Oryctolagus cuniculus: one gene and its partners. The protein of the gene in region 4 purifies or fractionates together with the protein of the main gene of each other region. This does not show direct contact. Links are inferred from orthologs where the notes say so. Each region holds a gene or a part of one and is shown on either strand. Other genes may lie near its edges. The genes, in order: SDHA, HSCB, SUCLG1 and SUCLG2.

Evidence for each region.
Region 1: the proteins of SUCLG2 (region 4) and SDHA fractionate together in Homo sapiens (co-fractionation; 3 studies listed by BioGRID, with this or other methods). This does not show direct contact. The link is inferred for Oryctolagus cuniculus from reciprocal best matches to the Homo sapiens genes SUCLG2 and SDHA.
Region 2: the proteins of SUCLG2 (region 4) and HSCB purify together in Homo sapiens (affinity purification with mass spectrometry; 3 studies listed by BioGRID and IntAct, with this or other methods). This does not show direct contact. The link is inferred for Oryctolagus cuniculus from reciprocal best matches to the Homo sapiens genes SUCLG2 and HSCB.
Region 3: the proteins of SUCLG2 (region 4) and SUCLG1 fractionate together in Homo sapiens (co-fractionation; 6 studies listed by BioGRID and IntAct, counting the BioPlex papers as one, with this or other methods). This does not show direct contact. The link is inferred for Oryctolagus cuniculus from reciprocal best matches to the Homo sapiens genes SUCLG2 and SUCLG1.

The regions. Positions count from the first base shown.
Region 1 is NC_091445.1:97,557,090-97,564,593, forward strand, and holds the start of SDHA (succinate dehydrogenase [ubiquinone] flavoprotein subunit, mitochondrial), read right to left. Parts: upstream 4,971-7,504; 5' UTR 4,967-4,970; coding exon 4,805-4,966; intron 26-4,804; coding exon 1-25. UniProt on the Homo sapiens protein: Flavoprotein (FP) subunit of succinate dehydrogenase (SDH) that is involved in complex II of the mitochondrial electron transport chain and is responsible for transferring electrons from succinate to ubiquinone (coenzyme Q).
Region 2 is NC_091452.1:22,187,729-22,195,200, reverse strand, and holds the end of HSCB (iron-sulfur cluster co-chaperone protein HscB), read right to left. Parts: intron 6,152-7,472; exon of another isoform or gene 6,118-6,151; coding exon of another isoform or gene 6,062-6,117; exon of another isoform or gene 6,028-6,061; intron 5,418-6,027; coding exon 5,370-5,417; intron 2,295-5,369; coding exon 2,203-2,294; 3' UTR 2,158-2,202; downstream 1-2,157.
Region 3 is NC_091433.1:118,194,024-118,200,931, forward strand, and holds the end of SUCLG1 (succinate--CoA ligase [ADP/GDP-forming] subunit alpha, mitochondrial), read left to right. Parts: intron 1-4,507; coding exon 4,508-4,696; intron 4,697-5,709; coding exon 5,710-5,736; 3' UTR 5,737-5,955; downstream 5,956-6,908. UniProt on the Homo sapiens protein: Succinyl-CoA synthetase functions in the citric acid cycle (TCA), coupling the hydrolysis of succinyl-CoA to the synthesis of either ATP or GTP and thus represents the only step of substrate-level phosphorylation in the TCA.
Region 4 is NC_091441.1:81,881,375-81,888,925, reverse strand, and holds the start of SUCLG2 (succinate--CoA ligase [GDP-forming] subunit beta, mitochondrial), read right to left. Parts: upstream 3,844-7,551; 5' UTR 3,763-3,843; coding exon 3,679-3,762; intron 1-3,678. UniProt on the Homo sapiens protein: GTP-specific succinyl-CoA synthetase functions in the citric acid cycle (TCA), coupling the hydrolysis of succinyl-CoA to the synthesis of GTP and thus represents the only step of substrate-level phosphorylation in the TCA.

The DNA of each region.
Region 1 (7,504 bases), on a different chromosome or scaffold from region 4:
CTGTCTGCAGTGCTGCCGGCCGCTGCTGAAACACAGAGTGCTAGTGTCATGAAGAAATAGTAACTGCAGTTCCCCTTCTAGATCATCACCCTGGGACACCCACATCCCATATCAGAGTCCTAGCTCTGCTCCCAGTTCCACTTCCTGCTAACGTGCACCTCGGCCCAGAACCAACTACTGAGGGCATTTAGGGAGAGAACCACTGGATGGGAGATCTCTCTGCCTTTCAAACAAATTAGTAATAATAACAAAAAACAAAAAACAAAAACAAAAACCTGTTACCCTTTTCATGTATCCAACTGGCAGACACAAGGGGCCAGGTCTCAGCCCCAGACTCTCCTCTGTACCCTGACTGGGCACTCTAGGAAAAGCTGTTTTCTGGGTGGAGCTTGTTTCCAGACTGAGTACTCAATAACTCAGAAATGAAATGAAAAAGGCACACTTCTTGGTAGTATCTTTTTTTTCTTAAGACTTACTCATTTATCTGAAAGTCAGAATTACAGAGAGAGAGGGAGGGAGGAGAGGGAGAAGGAGGGAGAGGGGAGAGGGAGAAGGAGGGAGAGGGGGAGAGGGAATGGGAGGGAGGAAGGAGGAGGGGGAGAGGGAGAGACAATGTCTTCCATGTGCTGATTTATTCCCCCAGATGGCCACCAGCAGCCTGAGCTGGGCCAGGCTGAGTCAGAAGCTTCACCCGGGTCTCTAACATGGGTGGCAGTGTGCCAAGCACTTGGGCCATCTTCTGCTGCTTTTCCCAGGCCATTAGCAGGGAGCTGGATTCCGAAGTAGAGCAGCTAAGACACAAACTGGAGCCCACATGGGTTGCTGACACTGTAGGTGGCAGCTTTACCTGCAACACCATAATGCTGGACCAGGAGAGCCCAACGTCTGCCTAAATAAAGACCAGTTCGTGCCACTTGTTAAATTAAACTTTTTGTGGAGAGATTATCAAACATTTTCTAATAAAGTTACATGAAAAAGAACAAGGAAATCTAGCTAAGATATAACTAAAAGAAATACTTGGACCTAAGTATTTCTTTTAGTTATATCTTGTTTTCTTGTTTAACAGCACAAAAGTTCAGATGACGAGGGCAGACAAGCAGCACAGAAGGCCAAGTCGAGGCTTGTGACAGCTGTATTCCACATCTGAGTGCCTGGGAAGCTTGAGTTCTTGATTTTCTGCCACCCACTTGGGAGATCCGGATGGAGTCCTTGGCTCCTGGCTTCAGCCTGGCCCAGCCCTGGCTATTGCAACTATCTGGACAGTGAACCAACAGATGAGTGCAAGATCTCTCTCCCTCCCTCTGTCACTCTGTTTTACAAATAAATCTTAAAAAAAAAAAAAAAAAATAGTTCAGATGCCTGAATTAGGAAGACGGGAGATAAAAATGACAAGAGTAGAGATGTTAACAGCCCAGCCTCAACCTAGCAAGGTAGGGAGCCTTCCCTTAATACATCCATAACCATGAACAGGAAGCCAATTCGTAAGCACAATCCTTACAATTACAAACGCAGCCAACAGAGGACCTAAAAATGGTTGTATGGGGCCAGCATCGTGGTTCAACAGGTAAAGCGACCGTCTGCATCACCCATATGGGTGGCGGTTCATGTCCCAGCTGCTCCACTTCCAACCCAGCTCTTTGCTGATAGCCTGGGACAAGCATGGACGATGGCCCAAGTCCTGCTACCCAGGTGGGAAACCCAGAAGTTCCTAGCTCCTGGCTTCTGCCTGGCTTCACCCTGGCCGTTTCACTCCACTACTTGTGGAATGAACCAGTGGATGGAAGATCTCTCTCTTCTCTGTAACTCTGTCAAATAAATAAATTTTTTAAAAAATGGTTGCATAACTATTGGGAGGGCACAGGAACAGGGAGTAGGTGGAATAAGTGTTTTACCAAACAAGAATTGATGTCTCAACTGACAAAAAATACACCCACATTCAGCTAGAGACTGCAGGTAAATAGCATGGCCAAAATTATAAGCAATTCAGAACTACTCCCACTAGTGGGTGGGGAGCAGCCCACTTCTTTATACCTACAAGGCCCTCTTATTGCCTTCTTTTTTGACAGGCAGAGTGGACAGTGAGAGAGAGACAGAGAGAAAGGTCTTCCTTTGCCGTTGGTTCACCCTCCAATGGCCGCCACAGCCGGCGCGCTGCGGCCAGCGCACCGCGCTGATCTGATGGCAGGAGCCAGGTACTCATCCTGGTCTCCCGTGGGGTGCAGGGCCCAAGCACTTGGGCCATCCTCCACTGCACTCCTTGGCCACAGCAGAGAGCTGGCCTGGAAGAGGGGCAACCGGGACAGAATTCGGCGCCCCGACCGGGACTAGAACGCGGTATGCCGGTGCCGCAAGGTGGAGGATTAGCCTAGTGAGCCGCGGCGCTGGCCTCCTCTTATTGCTTTTTAGAAACTGTAACTGGGACCAGCGCTGTGGTGTAGTGGGTAAAGCCGCCAGCAGTGCCCGCATCCCCTATGGGTGCCACTCAAGTCCGGGCTGCTCCACTTCTGGTCCAGCTTCTGCCATGGCCTAAGACAGCAGCAGCAGCAGAGCCCCTGCACCCACGTGGGAGACCTGGAAGAAGCTCCAGGCTCCTGGCTTCAGATCGGCCCAGCTCCAGCCACTGTGGCCATTTAGGGAGTGAACCAGTGGATGGAAGACCTCTCTCTCTCTCTCTCTCTCTCTGCCTTTCAAATAAATAAATAAATAAGTCTTTTTAAAAACTGTGTAATTATTTTCATTATGTATTTAAATGTTAATTTTTTAGTGAAGGATGATTAAAATACAGTGCACATTGTCCTGGGCATAGCTGTGAGTCATGAACCACGGGAGTCAAAGGTCACCTCACAGAACTCCACTAACCCATTCAGAACCTTAAGGTCAGAGTCAGCCTGGTGGCTCAGCATCTCGTAGTTTCCCCACTACCTAAGGACCCTTGGGGAAAGCCTCTGAGATACTCCAAACTAAGACTAAAATCCAGGTTAACACCACAACCAAGCCACTTTTCAAATGAACCAGGAAAGACATATGTAGAATACAGAACTGAATATCATTTATATAATGATCCAAAAAGCAAAACCAAAGGCTATTCCTATACAGACCTAAATAATTCCAGATACACCATTAAAATGTATTCAGATCAATACATTAAAAAAAAGATTTATCTGAGAGTCAGAGTTATACAGAGAGGGATCTTCTACCTGCTGGTTCATTCCCCAGATGGTTGCAAAGGCAGGCACTGGGCCAGGATGAAGCCAGGAGCCAGGAGCCTCTTCCAGGTCTCCCATGTGGGTAGCAGGGGCCTAAGCACTTGGGCTATCTGCTGTTTGTACCAGACCATTAGCAGGGACTGGATCTGAAGTGTAGCAGTCGGGACACAAACCAGCGCCCAGGTGGGATGTCAAGTGTTGAAGGCTGTGACTTTACCCTCTGTACCACAACGTTGGCCCCAGATCAATCCATTTAAGAAAAGAAGTTAGCTTATCCTAGGACAGTTTTTTGGGTGTTCATCCTAAGAGTTTTGAAACACTTCATTGGAAGCAAGCAATTAAATATTTCAGGTCCATCGTTTTACTTTCCTCTTGGAATAAATTGCTTCAGAACGGTTAAAAGAAAGGCAAAAAATTAGTAACTTGAAAGCAGCCATAATGACAGAATGGCTTGAAAACACAAAACTGATAAAAAGGAGATAAATTACCTATTCATTTTTCTGAAATTATCCTCAACACCTACTTTTAAAAAAATATGTATTTATTTGAACGGCAGAGAGGTCTTCCACCCACTGGTTCACTCCCCAGCTGGGCCGGTCCGAAGCCAGGAGCCTCCTCCAGGCACAGGTGCAGGGGCCCACGGACCTGGCCCATCCTCCACTGCTTTCCCAGGCCACAGCAGAGCTGGATCGGAAGAGCAGCAGCCGGACTCCAACAGGCGCCCATATGGGATGCCGGCGGCTTTACCGCTAGGCCACACCACCGGCCCCAACATCGACTTTATAGTCAATTCTCAGCTAACTATCCTAAAATTGCCTTTTTTCTCTTTTAATTTGACTCTCATTTTCCTTGGTAAACTCCAGTTCTTCAGGAAATGAGCCAACCTTAAGTGCAATACACTGCTTGAGGGCACAATTTCTGGAGGAAGAGCGCCATCCTCACGAGAAGGCCCAGACCCCCTCTTCGCGCAGGCCTGCGTGCGGTTCCGTGCTGCTCCTCCTGGCCCTCTGGTTTGCAAGCAGCCAGCCGCACGAGAGCGCGTTCCGCCGGCTCCAGCCTCGCCGCGACGGGAGGAAAGGCAGGCCAGCGCGGCTTCCCCGGACACCCACTGCGGCCCGCAGAAGGGGCCCCGGCCCCCTCCGGTGGGCGCATTCAGTCACCGCCTGCGGGCCCTCTCGCGACGGCTGAGCCCCGGGCCTGTCAAGCCCCGCAGGGGCCTTGGCGACTCGCAGGGGCACTGGCGAGCGCACTGAAACTGAGGGAACAAGCAGCGAAGCACCCGCGTCCGGCCAAGCAAGACGCCGGAGCCGCGGCCGGAGAGGGCGCCCGGACAGACGCGCGGCGGCAGCCGCGGCCGCTCCTGCGCGAGCCCCGCGCTTCTCCGGCGCCCGGGTAGGATCACGTCCGCCCCGCAGCCGCGCCTTCGCCTCCGGGGTCCCCGCCCGCCACGTCCAGAGCCAGGGGCCAGGGCAGCAGCGACCTTGGCCTCTAACGGGTCGTGACCTTCACCGGGACAAGCCGTCCACTGCACCCCGCTCGGGAGCGCCGCGCTCCCACCACCGCTGCCTCGGCCCTGCCGGTCCCCGGCGCCGACTCACCGCCCGGGTCAGCGCCAAACGCCGCGCCAACAGCAGCCGCGACACCACTCGGACCCCAGCCATGACGGCCCAACGCTGTCCCGCCAGCCCCCGCGCAGGACGCGTCTGCGCAAACGCCACATCCGGGGCGGGGACGACGGGAAGTTCCGCGCCTGCGCACATGTCGCCTCCGGGATCGGCGGGTGGCAGCCTGCGCCTGCGCACTGGCCGGGGGCCGGCGGCGCTGAGGGGGCCAGGAGGTCCGGGGGCCAGGAGGTCTGGGCGCCCGCAGCGCAGGTGGGTGCGGCTCTGGTCAGGGCGGGCTTGAGCGGTATTTCTTTAAAAGCCGGGCTGGCAGGGCTGAGCGGTGGTGAGGAGCGAGCCGCTGCGGCGTGGGGACCCTGCGCCGTCCGGCCTGTGCTGGGCGCCGCGACTCCCAGGTTCGCGGCCGCAGGTGCAGGACCCTGGGGCGGCTCCGCGCGGGAGCCTCTGTGTGGGTCCCTCGGCGACTCCGAGTCTACAACTGGAAGGTTCTGGTTTTCCTAATATGCGCGTTCATGTAAGATAGTTGAAGTCTTTTCTCAAATAATTGTGGTGCCTGCGTTTTCATTGGATTAGTAATATGTTTTGCATTATTTTGGGGAAAATAACTTAATTCTTGTTAAATTTACAACAATGCCTGTTTTATTTCTGCTGTTAGTAAGTAAGGCCAAAGAAACTGTGCGTGGCGCTTACTTTCCTGGGGGCGTCCCTGGGCCGTCTGCGCCGGCGGTGGGCTTCGTGGGTGCGGAGGGAAGGTACAGGGACACGGCCACCGCAGACAAGATAGGAAGAAGGAGCTCACCCGCCCCGCACGAACACTTTTTCTGTTGGTAAACCATGGAGTGCGGTAGCTGTTTGCACTGCGTTATCAGCAAGCAGAGCGCAGGCGTCTGGGAGGTGTGTGGGGAACAGCCCGCGCCACCCGTTCGAGCTCACGCAGGCCGACTGTGCCTCCTAGGGAGTCCTGCAGGTTGAGTACTTTCTAAATTAGGTACCTGCCTAATTGTTAGAGCCTGTGATTGCCACATACTCCACCAGTATCAACTTCTGAGCCATGTTTTTTGCATCTATCATTATTGTCTATCATAATTTTGTCAATTTAGATATTAAGTGTTTATTGCAAAGCTGTTAAAATTGTCACAAAACTTGAGTTTCTCGTTTCGTATGTGACCCGTGAGTAACTGTTTAGTAAGCGGGTGTTTGTGGTGGTGGCTCGTGAAGCAGGCTGAAAGCTCTCGTGGCTGCTGTGTGAGTGCCCAGCCCGGGTCTGGAGGGCACTCCGCACCTGCAGCAGGCTCTCTGTGGTCTTCTGCAGTCACTGTCCCCGTGTAAGCACGGAAAGTCCCCAGCGCTGTCCCTGTCTTCCCCACGCAGGAGGCCACAGCCCTGGATGCGCCACTGATGGTGTCCCCGGCGTCCCCGCTCGGTCCCGCCTCCCTCGCGTGGTGTCCACGGCGTCCCCACTCAGCCCTCCTCCCTCGCGTGGTGTCCCCGGCGTCCCCACTCGGTCCCGCCTCCCTCGCGTGGTGTCCCCGGCGTCCCCGCTCTGTCCCGCCTCCCTCGCGTGGTGTCCCCGGCGTCCCCACTCGGTCCCGCCTCCCTCGCGTGGTGTCCCTGGCGTCCCCACTCGGCCCTCCTCCCTTGTGGTGTCCACAGCGTCCCCACTTGGTCCTGCCTCCCTCACATTCTCTGCTGGGAAGACCTTATCCTTGTCTGGCTCCTACCGATGTGTAGCTCATTCTTCACAGCGTATCAATATGAGCAGTGTGAGCCCATTGTTGAGTTGATTATAGATACATTTGGAAGTGTATTAGGGTTCTCCAGAGAGACAACCCATAGAATATATGAGTGTATTTACAGAGGCAGTTGAGAGAGTTCATGGAAAATATGTGTGATGAAAAGCTGTGCATGGACTGATTTCAAAATGTTTGCACCAAACGTTTTCCATGACCTTTTCGAAGTGTTCTCGTTTACATGTGTACGGCGTGCATGTATGTGTAGATGCCGTGTATGTATGTATGTGCACACACTGTGCATATATATACACTTGGAATGTTTGATTTATTGTGAGGAATTGTTTGGAGGATTCAATGCTAGTCTGATCCAGGAATGCCCTCACAAACACAGCCTGACATGTTTAGCAAATGTCAGCATTTGTGGCTCAGTCAAGTTGAAATGTAAAGTTTACCACAACAACCGTGGTGGGATGAGAGAAGGCCATGCCAGCAGTTACTCACCAATGGCTTTGAAACCCACCTGGCAACAGGCTGTGATTGGTTAGGGCATAAACTGCCCCTTTGACCGGATTGGCCGCCTTGGCTATTTAATCTGCTGCAGCAACTGAAATAAACGAGCCTGCAGGCTGCTTGCCTCTGGCCTGCTTTCACCGGACTCCAGGGGTCTGTGTGGTGACTCCGTGCCTCTTGCCCCCACCACGCTCCTCCTCAGAACGAATCCACAGCAACATCTGGCGCCCAAGGTGACAGAGCGTGTCAGACTTGGCGAGGTCCCCCCTTGATTTCGGCAAATAGGCCCCTTGGTGTTTTGTGTGCTGTTTAGTTCTGTGAGGGTGAGCACAGAACCCCCTCCCACGCCCCTTTCCTTGTCCTTGTCCTCAGTTGAAGTGACCCCAGGTTAGTCAACACCGCCCAGAAGCATACGCCACTTCTCGGCTCCTCC
Region 2 (7,472 bases), on a different chromosome or scaffold from region 4:
TCCTGTCACCTTAACCATTGCACCAAATGCCAGCCCCTGACTTTTTTCAATTATAAACAAGTGAGTGACTCTCCCAAGAATGTTGTTTCTTGGGATTTTTTTAAGATCAGAATTTTCTGTTTGGTATTTAATCCCCACTGATCCAGAGACTTAAAATAAGCAGACTCCCCTCCCCCACATTTTTGTTTTTTTCTTTCTGGAAATAGATCAAGACCTTAAACTGAATTTCCAAAGATCCAGAATGGGAAATAAAAGCTGCTTTGAGCTGATTTAGAAGAACATGGAGGGGCTGGTGCTGTGGTGCAGCGGGTTAACGCCCCGGCATGAAGTGCCGGCATCCAATATAGGCGTCGGTTTTAGTCCCGGCTGCTCCGCTTCCGATCCAGCTCTCTGCTGTTGCGGCTGCTCCACTTCTGATCCAGCTCTCTGCTGTGGCCTGGGATAGCAGTGGAGGATGGCCCAAGTCCTTGGGCCCCTGCACCCATGTGGGAGACCTGGAAGAAGCTCCTGGCTCCTGATTGGCACAGTTCTGGCCGTTGCGGCCATCTGGGGAGTGAACCAGAGCATGGAAGACTCTCTCTTCTGCTTCTCCTCTCTGTGTAACTCTCTCAAGTAAAAATTAAATAAATCTTTAAAAAGAAAAAAAGAACATGGAAATAGTGATGAGTGTCCACTATCCAGAGAGTAATTAAGGCCCCCCCCCCCCCTTTCACCAAGGTAGGGCAGAACCCATGGTGTGTAATACTATGCTCATTCTTGGGCATGTTATCTTCAGTTTGCAATGTAGGCCAAAGCCACCATCAGATGGATTTGCTTGTTATCAAACACAATGTCCCAAGCCACAGTAACAAAGAGGATTATTTATATAAGTGAAGGTCACACCATTAGACAGAAGTTGTGGTTCTTGGGCAGTAGTTGGCAAACTCACGGCCACATCTGACCCACCACCTGTTTCATAAATAAAGTTTGATTGGAACACAGCCCTGTCTACTTGCTTACATATTGTCCACGGTTGCTTTTGTGTTACAGGAGTAGCAGTGACTAGTTATAACAGAGGCCGTATGACGACAAAGTCTGAAATATTTACTATCTGGTCCTTCGGAGAAAATGTTTCTGAATCCCTCCTTATATTATGGGCCCATGTATCTTAATCTTTATTCCAGGTTCCTGCCCCCACAGAGGTAATAATTCAAAGCAGAGGCACAGCACAGTGCACAAGTGACAGAAGGATTTGCTCAAGAGAGTATACATTCACCTGTGAGTGAAAGGGGGCACCCCCTTCCCATTATGATCTCCTTTATGAGGTCGGGGTGGTGCCCTAATTGAATAAACAAACAGGGTAAAATTTAGCGTTTGCAAGCTTTCTGTTGGTTGCATGGCACCTCCACATGGAGTTTAACTTCCACGTGGGCTTCATGCCATCTCCTCTTCCTGGTCCCAGATGAGATGCAGGTGCATCAAGGGAAAGTGGATGCACTGATTGACAGGAAAGGGGGTAGAGTTACAGTGCAGGCCTGGCAGAAATGCCAACCATTCCTGCCCAGTTCCCCCACAGCTCCTTACTTTAAAAGACCGCTCAGTCCCATTCCCAGCTCCCCATCTACTGGCCTAGGCAGGGGCAAGCTGTTCTCAAACATCAGGTGAAGAACCGCCACTCAAGCTCTGACAAGGCTGTTTTCCTCTGGTGTGAAAAATGTTGCCATCCATTCATGCTTGAACCACAGGTTTAAGTAAGATATAAACAGGTGGCCGGCGCCGCGGCTCACTAGGCTAATCCTCCGCCTTGTGGTGCCGGCACACCGGGTTCTAGTCCCGGTCGGGGCACCGGATTCTGTCCCGGTTGCCCCTCTTCCAGGCCAGCTCTCTGCTGTGGCCAGGGAGTGCAGTGGAAGATGGCCCAAGTGCTTGGGCCCTGCACCCCATGGGAGACCAGGATAAGTACCTGGCTCCTGCCATCGGATCGGCGCAGTGTGCCGGCCACAGTGCGCCGGCCGCGGCAGCCATTGGAGGGTGAACCAACGGCAAAGGAAGACCTTTCTCTCTGTCTCTCTCTCTCTCACTGTCCACTCTGCCTTTCAAAAAAAAAAAAAAAATAAATAAATAAAAAAAAAATAACATATAAACAGGTAAACTGTATTATTAACAGGAGCCAGAAAAGAAATATATAAGAACTTTATTTTTAAAGCCTTAAATTAGCAACAATTAGAGGGGAATCTTCTTTAACTTGAGCTTTTCTTCAACATTTGAAAAGTATCTCATCTTTGTTAAAATTTCCTTGGCCTTTTCAAAGTCATCTGAAATAAACAAGAGATACTGATGTAAGGTTTCATTTCAAGAACCAGAGCTGGCCACCAAGGCAGTCTGATCAAAGCTAAGCACTGGCTCGAGGGTGCATCAATTACTCAGTAAATAAATCCGAGCAACAGAGAGGGAGAACATCTAGATTGCTCAAAGGGATTAACCAAAAGGGGGAAGATTATGGTTGTTTACAGAATTCAGATAAATGAGAGAAGAGAAAAGCTGATTCTCTTCAAGACGGGGCCAAGTAACCAATGGGTTGTATTTTAAAAGTTTTCCCCCTGGGGCCAGCCTTGTGGCGAGTAGATTAAGCCACCGCCTGTGATGTGGGTATCCTATATGAGTGACGCCTGTGATGTGGGTATCCTATATGAGTGACGGTTGGAGTCCTGGCTGCTCTACTTCCAATCCAGATCCTGGCTAATGTGCCTAAGAAGACGGTGGAGGATGGCTCCTGCCATCCCTGTGGGAGGCCCGGATGGAGTCCCTGGCTCCTGGATATGGCCTGGCTCAGCCCTGGCTGTTGCTGCCATTTGAGGAGTGAACCAGCAGATAAAGATCTCTCTCTTTCTTTCTGTAGCTTTGTCTTTCAAATCAATAAAGTAAATCTTGGAAAAAAAAAGTTTTCCCCTAACACATGTAGAGGAATAACAATGAAAAGGATGTGGACCCCCAGAGTGCTTCCTCTATGCCTCCTGCCGAAGCACGAGCTGCCCTCAGAGGCTTCCAGGCTGTAGGAATGATGCCTCTCAACAAGTGATTCTGCCCTGAAGGGGGTGTCTGGCAGTGTTTGGAGATGCTTTTGGTTGCTGCAACTGGGGAAGTGGTGCTGACATCTACAGTGCACAGGACAGCCTCCCACAGCAAAGAATGTTCTGGATCAGGGGCGAGCACTTAGTGCAGCAGTTAAGATGCTGCTTGGGATGCCTGTAGCCTGTATCAGTGCTTCCATTTGAGTCCTGGCTGTACTTGATTCCAGCTTCCTGCTAATGGCCAAGAACCTGGAACTCAATCAGGGTCTCCCACATAGTGGCAGGGACTCAATTATTTGAACCATCATCTCTGTCTCCCAGAGTGTGTATTAGCAGAAAGCTAGAATTGGGATCAGACCTGGGACTCAAACCCAGGCACTCTGATTTGGGATGTGGGGCATCCCAGGTGGTGGTTTAACTGTTGCACCAAATGCTCACCCCAATCTCTGTCCTTTAACTGGTACATTAAGCTGACACTCAAAGCGATTCTTGCTATAGCTAGATTAAAATCTACCATATTTGTTACTGTTTCCTAATTGCTGCTCTTATTCGTTGTTCCTATTTTTGCCTTCCACTCTTTCTACCTTTTAAAGTTTCCATTTAACATTGTTTTCTAAAGATTTATTTATTTATTTGAAGGGCAGCGTGACAGAGAAAGACCAGGGGAGAAATAGAGAAAGATTTCCATTTCCTGGTTCACTCCCCAAGTAGCTACAACAGCCGGAGCTGGACCAGGCTGAAGCCAGGAGCCAGGAGCTCCATCTGGGTCTCCCATGTGGATGGCAGGGCCATCTGTTGCTTTCTTCCCAAATGCAGAGAACTGGGTCAGAGTGGAGTAGCTGGGATGCAAAGTGGCCCTCAGATGTGGGATGCCAGTGCCTCAAGCAGAGGCTTAACCTGCTGTGCTGCAACATAAGCCCCCATCAGCGAACATTTTATGATTCCATTCTCTCTCAGCATATCAGTTACACTTTTTAAGACCATTTTTAGTTATTGCCCTATAGTCAGCAAGATGTACACTGACAAATGTTCCAAGTATATGTCTGAGTAACGTTATACTGCTTCATGGTAGTGAATCCTATACTTTCCATCCCCCTTGTATCAGAGGTGTCCTTCATTTCATTTCTGCATAAACCTACCTAAGCATACTGTTGCTATTACTATTTTGAACAAACTGTTATCTGTTAGTTCAATTAAGAATCAGAGGGGTGGTTAAGATACTGGTTAGAATGTCAACATCCTATATTGGAGTGCCTAGGTTTGAGTCCTGTCTCTACTTCCAATTCCAACTTCTTCCTGCCAATGTACACCTTGGGAGGCAGCAGGTGATGGCTCAAGCACTCGAGTCTCTGCCACCCATCTGGGAGACCAGGTTAAGTTCCTGGCTCCTGGCTGTTACTGGCATTTAGGGAGTGAAGCAACGGATAGGTGTTCTATTTCTTTCTCTGACTTTTGAATAAATAAAATAAGCCAAAAATTAAAAAAAAGGAAAATTAGTTTTTACTTCCATCAATGTTTTTCTGAAAAATCTATTTCTCTTTTATTTTGAAGGATAATTTTGTAGAATACAAAGTTCTAGGTGAGTGTACTTCTCTCAATACTTTTAAGTATTTTACTCTACGTAACTCACCTTATCTTCTCGTACAAGTAGAATAGAAGCACTTTCTCCTGTATGTTTAACTGGCATAGCACTGATTCTGGTATACAGTTTGTTTCTCCAGCAAGACTATTACTTCTTACAAGTACCAAGTGCTAACTGACTATGCCACTGGAGCAAGACTATCAACTCTTAAAGGTAGAAATGTAGATTAATAAATATTGGCTGGTGCCGCGGCTCACTTGGCTAATCCTCCACCTGTGGCGCCGGCACCCCGGGTTCTAGTCCCGGTTGGGGCGCCGTATTCTGTCCCGGTTGCTCCCCTTCCAGTCCAGTTCTCTGTTGTCACCCGGGAAGGCAGTGGAGGATGGCCCAAGTGCTTGGGACCTGAACCTGCACAGGAGACCAGGAGGAAGCACTTGGCTCCTGGCTTCGGATCGGCGCAGTGTGCCGGCCATAGCACCCTTTTGGGGGGGCGAACCAATGGAAAAAAGGAAGACCTTTCTCTCTGTCTTTCTTTCTAACTCCGCCTGTCAAAAAATTTTTTAAAAAATAAAAATAAAAAAATAAAAATAAAAAATAAAGATTAATAAATATTTTGCTTCTCTCCCTATATCCATTATAGGAAGAGTATATAAAAGCTATTTAGTGAATGAATGCTTTTTGCCTCAATGCTTATGATTTCTTTACATATATATAAAGTCAGCAACCGAAGAAAATACCTTGTTCAAAAGCTTTGCCCACATTGTCAGTAAGTTCTTTCTGTTTAGCTGAAAGAGAAAACCATTACCTTAGTTCTTTTATTAAAACAGACTCACAGTTTGAAGATAACACTTTGGAATCATGCTGATTTGCACAGAAAGCAGGGAGCTTGGATTCAAAGTTAAGGTTTCATAACCTTTGTTGTACATATACCATGACAGTAGGCACTATTTAGTGTAGCTTGCATGACCCTCTTTTTTTTTTTCTTTCTTCTTTTTTTTTTTAAAAGATTTATTTAAAAAAAGAGGAAAGACAACAGAAAGAGAGAGAGAGATGTCTTCCATCTGCTGGTTCACTCCCTGGCCAAAGCCAGGAGCCAGGAGCCTCTTCCAGGTCTCTGATATGGATGTAGGAGCCCAGGGACCTGGCTCGTCCTCTGCTTCCCTCCCAGGCACATTAACAGGGAGCTGAATTGGAAGTGGAGCAGCTGGGACTTGAACCAGCACCCATATGATACTGGCACTGCGGGCTGTGGCTTTAACCTGTTGTGCTACAGCACCCAGTGGGCAATCCTCATTACACTGTTTTTCTACCCCTGCCAGGTCCAAAGGAAATCACCAATGCTCATAAAATGACTATAGAATCATTAAAAAGAAAAAAAAAAAGACAAGGATATACCTTGATGTTCTCCACAGTCTGAGTCTTCCAGCATTCAGTGGGGACCACCTATCAGCCAGGCTATTACCAAGTGTTTTAGGCAACCACTTGCTAATTATAGGAAAAGGAACACATCCATGTCATACTGTGTTAAAAGAGAAGATGGCAAATGAGATGAGAGAGAAGAATCTTATTTTTCTGATGTTTCCTCACTTTACAGAAAGTGTGTTTTCCATTGTAAATAGCATCAATCACTTATTTACTGCCTTCTTTCAAAGCACTTTGAAATCTATTCTATGGGACTGGCATTATGATACAGCATCTGTGACGCGGGAGTCCCGTGTGAGCGCTGGTTGGATTCCGGCTGCTCCCTCCCTGCTACTATGCCTGGGGAGCAGAGGAAGATGGCCCTAGTGTTTGGGCCCCTGCCACCTGCATGGCTGGAGACCAGGATGGAGTCCAGGTTGGATTTCTCGGCTCTCAGTTTCAGCCTGATCCAGCTCCCGCTGTTGCAGCTATTTGGGGAATGAACCAGTGGATGGAAGCATTCTCTCTCTCTTTTTCCCTGTCTGCGAATCTGCCCCATGGGCACATGGGTAGTGAGTGGGCAGCCAGGAACAGCATCCAAGTCACCTGTCCTTGCCCAGGGTTTGAGAAGAGCCTCTCAGGTGGCAATGCCGTGTCAATGAAAGAGCACTAGGAGCCTGGAGGCTCTGCAGGCTGAGCCCAAAACTAACTCTGTGCCCTGTGCATTCACTTTGCCTGGGCCTTACGCGCACCTGGAGGGGACAGCATTTAGGAATTAATCCAAAGTGATGGTTGGTGATCTGCTCAAAGTCAAACGTCGTGACTGGGCCAGGCTAAGTGTTTCATGTTTCACTCATTTAATTGAATCCTTGCAACAACCATGACAAATTGTCCTTTTTTTTTTTTAATTTAAAGATTTATTTTATTTATTTGAAAGACAGAGTTACAGACAAAGGTAGAGACAGAGAGAGAGGTCTTCCATCTGCTGGCTCACTCTGGGATGCTGGTGCTTCAGGCCAGGGTTTTAACCCACTGTGCCACAGTGCTGGCCCCAAATTGTCCCCCTTTCACAGGTGGGAAACATGAGGTCTAGAGGGGTGAAGTTATTTGCTCAAGTCACATAAAAAATCAGTAGCACTACTGGGACTGAACCCCAGCCCACCACCCCCTGATGTTTCTGGAGGCCGTCTCTCAGAGCAGAGTCGATGGGGCCTTCTGCCTGCACACTGCTCCTCGCCCTGCCCCACCCAGCCCTCACGTCCAGCTGACAGTCCCTCACCACCACTTCCGTTTTATCTCTTTTCATGTTCATTAATTAACTCATTTAATACATACTGAGTTCCTACTATACTTCACGTACTATTCTATGAGCAGAGGGTGTGAGAGAAGCGAAAAGCAGACATGTTTCTCTTTTCAGAGCTTCCATCTATAAATCGGGG
Region 3 (6,908 bases), on a different chromosome or scaffold from region 4:
GTTGAATCTCCTTGCTCTCCTGATATGTTTTTGTAGAGGTCACTAGTGCCCTGGATTCATTTTTCATCTTCTCATTCTGTTAGTTCTTCTCTTGGTTTTCCTCCTCTATCCTTCCCGGGATGTTTTTTTATTTCTCTATTCTTTAAGTATGAATGATGATCTTATATAAACTGTGTCTTATTTCACGCAGTTTCCGGTGACAGGAACTTGAGAACTGTCTGGTTTCTCTCATCCTCTATTTCCACTTATTTACCAAGATCTGTCTCTGTGACCTTGGTGGTGTATCTAGATTTAAGGCTCCTTCTGCAAATCTTCCATCTACTCTGGGGGAGACCCTTACCTCATCAGGGCCTTCTTCCTAGTCTCCTCCCTGATATCACCACTGGTTTCCCCCATCCACCCCAGACTATCCTCCTTATGATCACCTGAATTATCACCTCTTCTGAAATACAGGCTTTGGTGCCATTTGTCCCTCTTTAAAACCAGACAGCGTTTCACGTTGCATGTCAGATAAAGGCCAGGGTTAGCATTGTAGTTCAGTCCCTGGCATAGCACCCAACCTTCTTTCTCAGGTCCAGGTCTCATCCCATCTCATATGCCAGTTTTCCTTTCCCCTTGCCTTTAATTGTTCTTCTGCGAGGCATGATTAATATTTGACTGTCACTCTAGGTTGTATTATGAATAGCAACTGGTATCCTTTTTCTTGGAGCTCAGTCCAGTTCTCTGATGCAGTAGGCATCAAATGTCAAATGAAAGGATAAAGTGTGTTGTTAGGAGTGAAATTTTATTAGATTCTCCTGCAATCACAAAAGTTGTGAAATTTGAAGTTTAACTAAAAACTTCTTCTTGGAAAAAAAATTAAGTTAATGTGAACTTTCACTATGTTAAAGTGAATTTTAAGTATATTTGGACCCAACTCTGAATCTTTTTGAATAGCTTACATTTATTGGGAAAACTAAACATAGAAATTTTATTTAATTTGGCACATGTTTTCCTATTCCTGGTTCATCCCAGTTGGACTAATTTTTTTTATAGTACAAGATTCTAGGTTCAGCAGTTCAGATTACATAGTATATAAAATACTTGGCATGATACCTGGCATGGAGCAGATACTCGATAGATGTTACCTGCTGCTACCACACTGTTACTGTTAATGATAGTAATTATTTGCAGAAGTTGTTTAATCTTTATTTTGACCTGTAGGGCAAGATTTTTTTGTCCTTTCTTCAGGAATAGGGAACTGGCACCGGAAGGCTAATGTCTTGCCAGTGGTAGGACGGCAGCACATGACCCAGGGGTGGGATTCATGCCAGAGCTCGCCTGACTTTGCCATTACATCGTGAAAGGATCAGGAGGCAGATTGCAGGGGTTCAGGACAGAGCCAGCAGTCCTTCCTGGGTGTATGTTCCGACTATCCTTACACTGTTCTGCCGATCTTTCTGCTTTTGGACTTTCAACTTATCATTATTTATATCCTGTTTTCAGGCTATACTTTCCCATAGTGTAATTATATTTTTTTCCATTTAAAAAACTGCCAATGATTCTTCTGCATCAGTGGAACAGAGCATAAATTTGTTTGACATGCTAGGCTTGTCATAATTTTGTTTCTTTGCAGCCACTCAAACATGAGATTCTCATATAATATGCAGAGGCCATGAGTGAAGGAATCAATGACTGTGAGGTCTTCTTTTTATTTCTAAACTGCAGATACTATAGTACATGCTGCACATACAGAAATGAATGAGAACATAATCCCCACGTTAACACTTTTTTTTTTTTTTTAAGATTTATTTATTTATTTATTTGAAAGGCAGAGTTACAGAGAGGCAGAGGCAAACAGAGAAAGAGAGAGGGGGGTCTCCTATCCACTGGTTCACTCCCCAAATGACCGCAACGGCCTGAGAGGTGCAGATCTGAAGCCAGAAGTCAGGAGCTTCCCCAGGTCCCATATGGGTGCAGGGGCTAAAGGACTTGGGCCACCTTCTACTGCTTTCCTAGGCCATATCTGAGAGCTGGATTGGGAGTAGAGCAGCTGGGACTCGAACCAATGCCTATATGGGATGCTGTCCTTGTAGGTGGTGGCTTTACCTGCTACACCACAGTGCTGGCACCCGCCATGTTAGTTTTGTAGGGGAACACATGGGAAATAGGTTACAGAGAGTTTACTGAATGTAATAGTGGAAACATGTAAAACGACAGCAAGATCACTAAAGAGATCAGATCATTAGCTATAAGGGCATTTGTGCAGAGTGTGGAGGAAGAGTCAGGAAAGGCTCATGGGGAAGAGGAAGCTTGAACTAGGTCTTAAAAAGTAAAAATTGTCTAGATATCCAGGAAAGTAGAAAAGATTCTCAGCAGAGGCACATACAGGTAGGGAAGTCTGGTTAATGGAAGATAAAAAGGAGAAAACAACAGTAGGAGACGAGGCTAGAGTAATCAGTGTCAGACCATGCAGCAGCCTGCATGAAATCAGAGCAGTGGAATCACACTAGGATCATTTACTGCTGTGTACCTGCAGTAAGAAAACAAAAAACCCTGATAAAAATTATTAATTTTATGAAGTCTTGACCATTAAGTCAGTATTTTGTGATGAGATGGGAAGTTAGGCTCTCTTGCCTTAAGAATTATAAGCTGAAGTAACTTAGATGCTTTTTTCATGGATACCAGTTTTGCTTGAAATAATGATGGCAGACAGAGTGGTTATTCAGACTTGGATGTTTGATAGAACTTTTCTAAGAAATGAATGATGTGAACCTGTCATATCAAGGAAAACAACTGATAATATTTGTTACCAATGATAAAATTTGAGGTGTCAAGTTTTGGAAAATTTGAATCTGCTACCCTGAACTCAGTTTTCTCCCAATTTAATGACTTTTCTAATTAGAGTTGACAGTGATACTGTTGGCTCTGGTTTGTTGATAGTGAATGATAAAATCTGTCAAGATTTGGAAGATCTACTCAATGAATTGATATTTTTCAGTTTGCCAGTGCATGTTACAAAATCATGGGTAAAATATCCAAAGTATAAGACCAATGGATTTCAAAGTAACAGAGGACAAGAAGTTATTGCCATGGGTTTCAGATTCCAACATTGCATCTAACCTTTGAGAAATTACCACTTGAAGAGGTTCATGTAGTATCAAGAAGAACATCCTCAGTTATCTGAATGGCAATTAAAATACTTATGTTTCTAGCTGTGTATCTGTATGAAATCAGATTTTCTTCTTATACTTCAGCCAAAATAAAATATAACAGATTGACTACAACAGCAGATATTCTTTGTTTTTATTAAATTAAACATTCAAAAGTTATAAAAGTAAGTTTTAAAATGCCACTCTTATTAAATAGTTTTAAGATGTTATCTGTAAATGAGTTAACAAATTTATAAAATTTGTTTTCTAATTTATAAAATTTAATTTCTAATATAGTAAATATCGGATATAATCTATGCATGAACAAAAGCTCCTTCAGATCCTTAGTAATCTTTATAAGTGTAAGGGATTCCCCAGACCAAATGATTTGAGAGCTGCTGATCTAGGGGAAGATGATAGTGCCTGAATCAAAGCTCTCACATTCTACACACTTTGTTCAGGTTCTGCCTTCTCCAGGCCTCTCTGCTTTACTTGTATTCATTATTACCTCTGGACTCCTATTACAATCATAGTATTAGCATTCATTGTGCAACTTCACAATAGATTCATATATTGCTTTTTGGTATCTCATAACTGATTAATAATATATACATATTTAACATTTCTTCAACTATATAATACTGAGCACAGAAATTCTTTTTTTCTCTATTTTTTGAAACTTCAGAATCTAGTACAGTGATATTTCTTTACAAAAAGGTTGTATATTACAGTTAATTTTGTTGACTAAAACCAAGAAATTCAGAGTAGGAAAGGCTCTCCATTAATCTCATTCAGCCATTTCTTTCCAAAGATGAGGAAGCAGAGATCTGCTTGTACCTTGTCCAAGGTCATGCAGCTTTAGTCAATAAATTTGAATCTGAGTCCTGGGTCTTTTCCTTATGCTTTTGTGCCTCATTTTTTTTTTTTTTTTTTAGCACATTTATTAAGGCTGAGCTAATAGTGAATAAAGACACAAAATTAGGTTGAAGTAAAATAATCAGATGTGTGTTAAGTAATTATTAATCCAAGTCTTATATCACATGTTTTCAGATTTGCTCTTTTGTTTTTCAAATGAAAGATTGACATGCTTGTAAAACGGATTGTGCCAGTGAAGCTGCAGTTTAATATTCACCAGATATAAAAGTTTCCTTAGGTTTGTTTTCCTGGGTTTGCGTGGGAGGTTGCAACATTCCAGGGGCAAATGCTGTAGGGGTTTCAGTCATAGTCTGATATTTGTTTTGTTTTGTTTTTTTTTTAGGATTCCTAGTTCAACCCATTTAACATTTACCATTTACCATTTACCAGCAGAGTCATGGGTTTGAGTTCCAGTTTTTATCAACTTCTTAAGAGTGTTTGAAATGCCACTTTATCTCCAGGGTCCAAATGCCAAGCCTGTAGTGTCCTTCATTGCTGGCTTAACTGCTCCTCCCGGCAGAAGAATGGGTCATGCAGGGGCAATTATTGCTGGAGGAAAAGGCGGAGCTAAAGAGAAGATCTCTGCCCTGCAGAGCGCAGGAGTTGTGGTCAGCATGTCTCCTGCACAGCTGGGAACTACCATCTACAAGGTAAGCTCTAACAGGGGCCCAAATGGCCAGTGTGGGCCCATACTGGGTCCCTGGAAACCGTCCCTGGAGTGATCTTTTAAGACTCTCCTTATTTTTATGATGGTTGAAGCCTTGACAAAAAAAAAAAAAAAAAAAAAATATGATCAAAACAACAACCCTGCTTCTAAAGCATTTTGAAAATAGGCACAGCTTGTTGTCCCAGAAGGAAACAATATTCAGTGAGAATTTTAAAATCCTGATTTGGTACAATCATCTTTGCTCTTATCTTAGGAATAATAAAATGGACTCCTTATTTTATTGAAACTTCTCATATTGTTTTGAACATACTGTGTGCCATGTGTTTGAAAGAAATCTAGGTGATTAGTAGTGTGTGAAGAAATATTTTATTTGAAAGTAGGGGAAAAGGAATGAAAAGCAAATGCTTAAATTCACATTGAAAATGTGTTACCATTTTAATCCAGTAAGGGGCAGTAGACATCTATACATTTTGTCTTGTTCTAATTGTTAAAGTCTAGAAAATTATGATTTTTGGTATTATTTCCTTAAACAATACTTGATTTAAGGTACATATTTGTTTTGAGGATTTTTAAGGTTCTTGGAATTTTGTTCAGATTCTAACTGAATCTGTATGTAGTTTTATTCTCTGAGAATGTAAGCAAACCTGTTTAGGGTTCATGTATACAGGTTTGCATAAGCACAGTGAGATTTAACAACTCCTAATAATGATATTGCAGGAAGAAAGTATTAATTAGAGCCTTCCACTCAGCTTCTGAGATTAGGAGACATAAAGTTGAAGCCCTGAGTCTAGCTTAGTTATATTCAAGTTGACACAGACTAATTTGAAAGCTGCTGTTTTGTCTTCAAGTACCCTTCTCCTGGTACATTTTACTTCTGTAATTTGGTTCAAAGAATCCTAAAGATAATAGATTTTAGAATCATTTTGACCATGAGTGTACTTTGGATCTTTTACCTTTTTATCTGCTCTCAATTCTCCCTCTTTTTTCTTTCTCAAGGAATTTGAAAAGAGGAAGATGCTATGAAAGAACAAACCAAAGTTTCTTGAAACTGTGGAATGAATCATGATAGACATGTGAACCAGCAGCAGTTTGCTTCTCTTGTCCACTGATTGTCAGCCTATGTGCCTGGGGTTGGTCTTTCATTACAATGGGAAGCCAAAGCAAGGTTTTGAATGTCCTAAATTGAGATGTTTTCACCTCATTGTATAACAGAGACAGCCAATAAATCTACCTTGATTTGAATATGGTTTTGGAAACTTGTTATTCTACTATGGGGAGAGTGGGAGATACAAAGGAGTGTGTGTGTGTGTGTGTGTGTGTGTGTTGGGGTGGGGGGGTCTCTGAATTACACACGAGAACATTGTAACTAAAACTTTTTTTAAAAAAGATTTATTTATTTACTTGAAAGGCAAAGTGACAGAGAGAGAGTGCGAGCTCTTCCATCTGTTGGTTCACTCCCCAAATGGCTGCAACAGCAAGATCTGGGCCAGGCCTAAGCCAGAAGCTACAAACTGCATCATCTTCCATGTCAATGACAGGGGCCCAAATACTTGGGAAATCTTCTGCTGCCTTCCCAGGCACATTATGGAAAGGAAGGAGGAATGGAAGCAGAGTATTTGGGACTCAAACCAGCACTCTGGTGGTGTCTCAAGTAGCAGCTTAACCTGCTGTACCACAACACCAGCCCCTATGACTAAAAGTTTCAAGAGAATGAAGCTGATACTTCACTATGGCATTTGTCTAATTATCTAGACAGAATGACCTTCGTTGTCTTGAATCAATTATATCATATATAATAATTTCCATTTTACAGGGTGCTTTGAAGGGTTAGAAATAAATGTGTAAATTTCTGACGCAGAAGAAGGTGAACTTAATTGTCATGCCTCCACCATCACTACGTCTATGGTTGTCATGTGTATTGCAGATAGAAGCTCTTGTGTTTTCAGTTGAGAAATGGGGAGTCTTCACTAATGCCGCACTTATCAGTGATTCTGTAAAGAGCTATCCCCTACCCTTTGCAGAGCCTACCTTCTTTGATTGAGCTTTTAAGATGTTCACTGAAAGATAGCAGGAAGACTATTGACTACCCTTATTTGTGTTTAAAAGGGAGCTTGTTAACACGAAGCAGTTCCAGTGTCCCTAAACACGAAGAGAGGGTACCTATCATTAGGAATTTACATGTGGGTGGGGAGAGA
Region 4 (7,551 bases):
TCGGGGCACCGGATTCTGTCCCGGTTGCCCCTCTTCCACGCCAGCTCTCTGCTGTGGCCCGGGAGTGCAGTGGAGGATGGCCCAAGTGCTTGGGCCCTGCACCCCATGGGAGACCAGGAGAAGCACCTGGCTCCTGCCATCGGATCAGCGCGGTGCGCCGGCCGCGGCGGCCATTGGAGGGTGAACCAACGGCAAAGGAAGACCTTTCTCTCTGTCTCTCTCTCTCACTGTCCACTCTGCCTGTCAAAAAAGTAAAAAAAAAAAAAAAAAAAAAAAAAAACTCCTTACCAGAGCCCTGCAAGTCGCCACATGATTTGGCCTCTGTCCACCTCTCAGACCTCATCCTCTGCCACTTTCCCTCTAAGTGTCCAGACATCCTGAGCTCATTTCTACCTCAGTGCCTTCGCACCTGCTCTCTGCTGTGTCTAATACACTCTCTCCCTAACTCTCACCTGGCTGGCTGCTTTTCTCACTCAGGCCCTAACTCAAATGTCAAAAAAGGGTCATATGTAGGAACTCATAAATATACTATTGAATAATATTGTGCAGGTCTATGTATAATGTTTAATTCCACATAGACAATGTAAAAAAAAAAAAAAAAAAAAAAACACAACAACAACAACAAAACCAGTGTATGGTATAATTCCGGGATGGGTTATCCTTTGGGAGGCAGAGATAGTGAAGGGATCGAACACCAGGGGCCTCCAGGTTGCTGTTCAATGATTATTTTCATGACCTGGCTTTCATTGCTGGGGTATGTTTGGTTCACAAGAATCATTCAGCCGCTCACCTACAATATGCATATTTTTTTAGCATTTGTGCTATCATATTTTAATTTAAAAATTTAACAAAACCAAAAACACCACTCTGTCAAGTTCAGTTCCCCTATGCACTCACCCTGCAGTATGTAACAACTCACTTCACGGCCTGTCACTGGCTGGAGTCATTTTGCTCTCCCCTACCCCGTTAAATCATCACATGAACCTGGTTCAAGTTCTGCCTCTGGCTCCTGAGGTCCAGTTCCTGCTAATGCGGATCCTGGGAAATAGCACACGATGGCCCAAGTGGTTGGGTTCCCGCCACCACCTCAGAGACCCAGACTGAGCTCCTGGCTCCCAGCTTCAGCCTGGCCTAGCCCTCGCCATTGTGGGCATTTAGGGAGTGAACCAGCAGATAAACAAATGAACACTCAAAGGCTGCCTAACTCTTTCACCACCTCCAAATCTCAGGACCTGGAACAGTTCTGTCAGATGGCATGGGCTGAGTAAAAAAAAATATATATGTGTGTGTGTGTGTGTGTGTGTGTAAAAATAAAAAATGATTAAGGTGAATCCTTTAAAAATATAGCTGTCAAGACAGAGAAGAGCGGAAGCTGAAAGGCAAGAAGCACCATCATAACATTACACATCAGGAACATGTGGTATGCATCCATGTGACCACTGGGAGGGAATAAACCAAGTGTCATCCTATGTGTATCTCTGTGAGGCCAATTAGCTATTTCTCAAGGCAGAACCTGGGTCTTCTATCTCTGTATATGCAACGGCTTTTCACAAGTCCTGATAGAAAGTAGGTCTGGGCCAAGAGCAGACAGATTTCTGAGACACGTGGTGAGGATGCTCAGTGCTCAGTTTCCCAGGGAAAGTGGGCCATGTTCAAGGGTAATGTCTGCTATGGACAAGGGGCCAGGCAGGCCCAATATCAAATCAGACTTACACAGAGCAGAGATTAAGAAGCACCCAAGAATTTGAGAAGAGTTCCTTACACCCAAACGAGCAATACCTAATCTATTTTCATTGTCAATTCATAGATGTACATGAAGAAAGAAAGCAACAGTGTGCTCGTGACTTGGAGGTTCTATGGTCACTGCTGGTTATACAGATTAACTTCGATGTTGGCAAAACCCATTTTCCTAAGAGACCTACGCTCACCAGGCAACAGTCAGCTGCAATGGAAACTCACAAATAAACTTCACTCTGGAATCTGCTCTCCCACAGAAGCTCTGTAACCTTGAACACACAGGCCTTACGTCTGACACCCAGGAAGTGACGTGGTTGGACCAGATACTCACTAATTCCCATTTCCAGTTCTTGGACACTGCGTACAGTTCCTATCTTTAGAAAACCATTCTCATCTCCTAAGCCTTGTGTTTACAGGAATGCAAACCATGCACAGGAATGCAAACCAAAGTCATCAGCAGAGAAAGATAACCAAGTTTTTCATCCAGTCTTCTAGATAAACCAAGGACGTGTCTGCCCAACCACTCTCTCTTGAGTGTTGAGTTTAGGGTCTCATTGCTTAGCTAGGGAAGAAATACACGGAAGCTAAACATTCTGCATTTTAGGTTTCTCTGCACAATGATTACCTTCTCCAGTTCCTACTGCCCTGGGCTCTCTCTTCCTCATCAATTCAGTTCTATGCTGATAGTTAGCACTTTAGTTCTTGTGTTTTTTTTTTTTTTTTTTTTTTTTGTAACATTCAAATAATTAATAGGACTTGAGCACCTGGAGCTACTCTCCTTACTCTATTAAACAGTTATTAGTGATTTTAATTAGACAAAACCTGCATTCCTTTTGCTACCCCACCATACTGTCAAGTGCCTATTAAGGACATTACAGTAATAAGGATTAGCACCTTTTAAATTTACATTAACAATAACAGAGAAATGGTAAGTCAGGAAATGAGAGGGAAGGAAAAAAAAGAATCGCACAGATGTCATAATTAACCCAAGCTTTAGAGTAACTCAAAAATCATTAGGTGCTACTTTTTAATTTTTCTTTAAAGCTATACTACGCATATCCTGATTAAAATTGCATGAGTGATAATTTGCCAATTAAAAATGGGGAAATGGACAAGGTCGTTCTGCCTCGGCTGAGCCCCCAGAATGTCCTTTTTTTTTTTTTTTTCAAGGGGAGGGAGGTGACCTACAGACATCAAGGCGTTGAGGGATCCAGCGATTTCTCTGAGTCATTACCAACTCCAAAGTGCCCACGAAGCCCTTCTCGCTAATATGATGCATGCCCTCTGCAGAAGGTAAAACCCACTGAAGGCCAAGTTCACCCTGCAGCGCCCACCCCCGCCCTCCTTGTTCCATTCTCCATAAGTAAGGAGACCACCAAAGCCTTTCGCTGACAGGACTGATTTTCCTCTGAAAGCTGGGGGCGGACACGCCTTCCATTTCACTCCTTGTTGCATACTTTTCCCCCGACTCGGCCATCCTGAAAATTTGCCCCGCTGCAAGCTCCGAGCGGGAGGCGAGGCACCCACATGGAGCGGCTGCACGGGTCTCCCACGGGCGCGGCGGAGCTGAGACGGTTCCCACGCAGAGCCGAAAACGAAACCCTAGCGCTCCAAAACCCAGGCGGAGGAACTTTTCCTAAACTTGTATCCAGCGCCTGGGAGCGTGCCAGAAGCCGTCACCTCCAGAAGGGAAGCCACCTGCGTCAGCCACTCCGGAGAGAAGCGGCCACACTCGGGGAGGTTGTGGCAGGGACTGCCGTCCGCCCTGCAGCCCCACACCCGAGCCGAGGCCAGGGGGCCGGGGGCCGGGGTCCCTTTTACTCCCCGGGGCGCCGCACACCCGAAGTGCCGGGCCCGAACGGGCCAGCGGGGGAAGCACAGCACGAGGGGAGCCCTGGCGGGCGCCGCTACCCACGGCACCTGTCGCCGGGCCGCGCTCACCTGGGACCTGGGGGCCAGGAGCCGGGGCCGCAGCGCTAGGCGTCGCAGAAGTTTCCCGGCCTGGGCTGCCACGGGGGACGCCATCTTAAACAGGAAACCCGGCGCGGGCGAGCAGGGCTGAGCGCGGGCAGGGAGGCGGAGACGCAGGGGCGGGAGGAGGCGGGCCCGGCCGGCCCCCTGCGCCGGGGCGGCCCCCGGGACCCCGCTGCGCGCGCGCCTCAGGGGCAATGAGGCTCGCCGCGCCCTGCAGCGCCCTGCCAGCCGTCGGGGACCTGGCGGGCTTCTACCTGCGCTCTCCCTAGCCTTGAGAGCCCTGTGCTCTTGAGGCTTGGAATTAAACGCTGTCGCCAGACAAGGACAAAGGAGCGAATTGTTTGTGGCCAGGAGCGCTGTAAGGACACTGGCGCTGTTCCAGCCCTGGGTCCCTGGGGCTTGAGCTGGGCCTTGGAGCAGGAAAGAGACAGGTGGGGGGGGGGGGGTTCGCCATCTGAGCGGTGCAGTGAGTTTGGAGAGGTGAGTGGTGCTCTCTACTCCTTTTTTTATCCTAAGCTAAGATAGTGCAAAGCTGTCGACGCGTGTTAAGGCCGGAAATTACTGACTGAGAGCAGAGGTTGATTCGGACTTCGCCGAATGCTAAGCGCTTTACGTGTAACAAAAATGACCGCAGCCAACATGCTGAGTGTGTGCCAAGCCCTTCACAAATACGAACTCATTTAGTCTTCGTCGCCACGTTTAAGTGGTTACATAGGTAAAATCTCGGGTTGCACAAGGGGAAACTGAGTCGCAGAAGGCAGCTAGTCTGAAATCTAATAAAGGGTAGGTATAAGACCCAAATTCAGAAGCCCCCCTTTTAATTTATTTTATTTTTAGACCTATTTGGCTAGCTTATCCCTGATTTTTTTTTTTAAGATCTGTTTATTGGGCCGGCGCTGTGGCGCAGTGGGTTAACGCCCTGGCCTGCAGCGCCGGCATCCCAAATGGGCACCGGTTCGAGACCCGGCTGCTCCCGTTCCAATCCAGCTCTCTGCTATGGCCTGGGATAGCAGTAGAAGATGGCCCAAGTCCTTGGGCCCCTACATTCGCGTGGGAGACCCGGAAGAAGCTCCTGGCTTCCGCCTTCGGATCAGCGCAGCTCCAGCCATTGCGGCCATCTGAGGAGTGAACTAGCAGATGGAAGACCTTTCCTTCTGTCTCTCCCTCTTTCTGTAACTCTGTCTTTAAATAAATAAAAAGTAAATCTTAAAAAAAAATTGATTGATTGACTTAGTTGAATGGCAGAGAGAGAGAGAGGCAGAGGCAGAGAGACCTTCTATCTGCAGGTCCACTCCCCAGATGGCCGCAACTGGCTGTAGCTGTACCGGTCCAAATCCAGGAGAATCTTCTGGGTCTCCCATGCGGTTGCAAGGGCCCAAGTACTTGGGCCATCTTCTACTGCTTTCCCAAGCCATAGCAGAGAGCTGGATCAGAAGTGGAGCAGCTGGAACTCCACTCCCATATGGGACGCCAGCACTGCCTTACCTGCCCCACCACAGCACCAACTCCAGCCCCATCCCTTAAGCACTGATTGAATTTTTTTAACCTTGCTCATTTCTGAGTATATACTGGTGAGAAAAGATACAATGTAATAAAAGTTTTCTTCCCACTGCTTCTCACATTTTTATTTTTATGTAATTTCAGATTTACCAGAAAAAGTCACAATATTACCCCAAATGGCCAAATACCCTGTATCCACTCATTTTCTGTTCTCAATATAGAGGCGTAATTTTAGATGTATTGGAGCAGGTGTTTGGCCTAGTGGTGAAGATGCTAGGGCCAACTTTGTAGCGTAGTGGGTTGGGCCACCATCTGTGACACCGGCATCCCCTGGGGTGCCAGTTGGAGTCCTGGCTCTTCCACTTCCTATTCCGCTTCCTATTGAGCTCCCTGCTGATGTCACTGGGAAAAGCAATGGAATGTGTCCCAAGTGCTTGGGCCCCTGCTACCCACTTGGGAGACCTGGATGCAGCTCCTGGCCCCCGGCTTCAGCCTGGCCCAGCCCTGGCCATTGCAGCCATTTGAAGAGTGAACTAGAAGATGCAAGATGAATCAATCTCTCTCCCTCTCTTTGACTCTCTTTCTTCCTCTGTGTAATTCTGCCTTTCAAATAAAAATAAATAAATCTTTGAGATGCCAGCTTCCATATTGGGGTTCCCGAGTTTGATTCCCTGCTCCTGACTTCAAAATCCTACTAACAGAGACCCTGGAAGGCAGCAGTGATGGCTCAAGTAATTTGCTCCCTGCCACCCACAAAGGAGACCTGGATTAAGTTCCCAACTTGTGGCTTTGGCTCCAGCCAACCCTGCCCATTTCAGACATTCGGAGAGTGAACCAGCAGATGGGGGGGGGGGGGTAATGGGGGGAGATGGACATGCTGGCTTACTTTCTATCTTTCCTCCAATAAATGTTTAAGAGTTCAGTATGAACACCTTCTAGATCAGACAGATGGACAGATTATAGCCCCTTCCTAGTCAAAATTTTACCCAGTAAATTTAGCATTCCTCAGTGGTTACTGTTTGAGTCATGTATTACTATGATGATTGCAAAATGGCACCTAACTCTGCATTCCGCATTTACTAGTTGCTCTTCTCCTCTGAGAAAAGCTGAACCTTCACCCCATTCCTTTATTCTTTTTCTCACTGTTTCAAGAGCTGTTTACTCAGTGGCCAAACTGTGCTCTTTCCTTCTGTGTACACTCGGCTGCCTTTGGGTATGTCGTTGAGTCCTCGCAGCCAGCCTGTGAGAGTGGTCATGTCGTTATTCCTGTGTTTGCCTTGGAGATAACCGGATCACACCCAGCAACATCTACCTGACTCCAACAGCCTGCGTCTTTCCCAAGCTGGGATCAGATTGTGGAAGGCTGGAATCTCACCAGTCTGCAGCCCACCCTCCTTGTGAGATGAATGTATTTGTCTTTCCATCTCACTGTTACCCCTCCTGTGTCTACCATCTGGTCAGGGTGGAGCAAGGAACTCTGGTAGTGTTTGCAGAGTGAATGTTCAAACTTGTTAACAGCTTTGAACACCGTTGCCGGCAGGAGGAAGGCCACCTATGGACCTCATCAAAGGCCACGTACTCACACATTGCAATGCTCCCCAAGTCCATCACTATCGCTTGCCTTCCAACAGAGTCTTGAAGGGGTTTGGAGGGACAGTTTGTCTCACGGGGATAAAGGAGAGACTGTTAAAAGACAGCCTTTGATTGATGAGTATTGGAACTGGGTTGGCGGAGGCTTTCTGGTTGGTGTTCAAGTACATCTGGCGGTTCTGAGTACATTCACTGCTCGTGAATAATTGGCAACTTTCCTGAATGGATAGGGTCATAGAGTTTTCCTGTCACAGTTGGAGGACTGCCGCGTCCTCAGCCCTGGAGCCCAGATCTTTGTCCAGAAGCTCTCATTCTGCATTCTCTGCAGCCAGAGGGTGGAGGAGAAGGGGCAGGAGGAAGGGGAAGTAACCTTTCAGGTAGGATCTCCGGGCGCTGGGCATGGATTACAGGAAGGAAGATAAACATGAGGAATGAACTGCCCTTAGTGAGTCCTCCTAAGATTTCTCCCCATTTCCTTTTTGGTTTTTGTTCTTCCAAATAGGAAGCTCTTCAAGGGCAGGAAACTGGATTCTACACAGATTTCTGTCCTGTGCTTTTTGAAGATCCTGTCCGTCAAACAGATAGGATAAACTTGATTAGATTAGGCCGGTGCCTTGGCTCACTAGGCTAATCCTCCGCCTTCTGGCGCCAGCACACCGGGTTCTAGTCCCGGTTGGGGTGCCGGGTTCTGTCCCAGTTGCCCCTCTTCCAGGCCAGCTCTCTGCTGTGGCCAGGGAGTGCAGTGGAGGA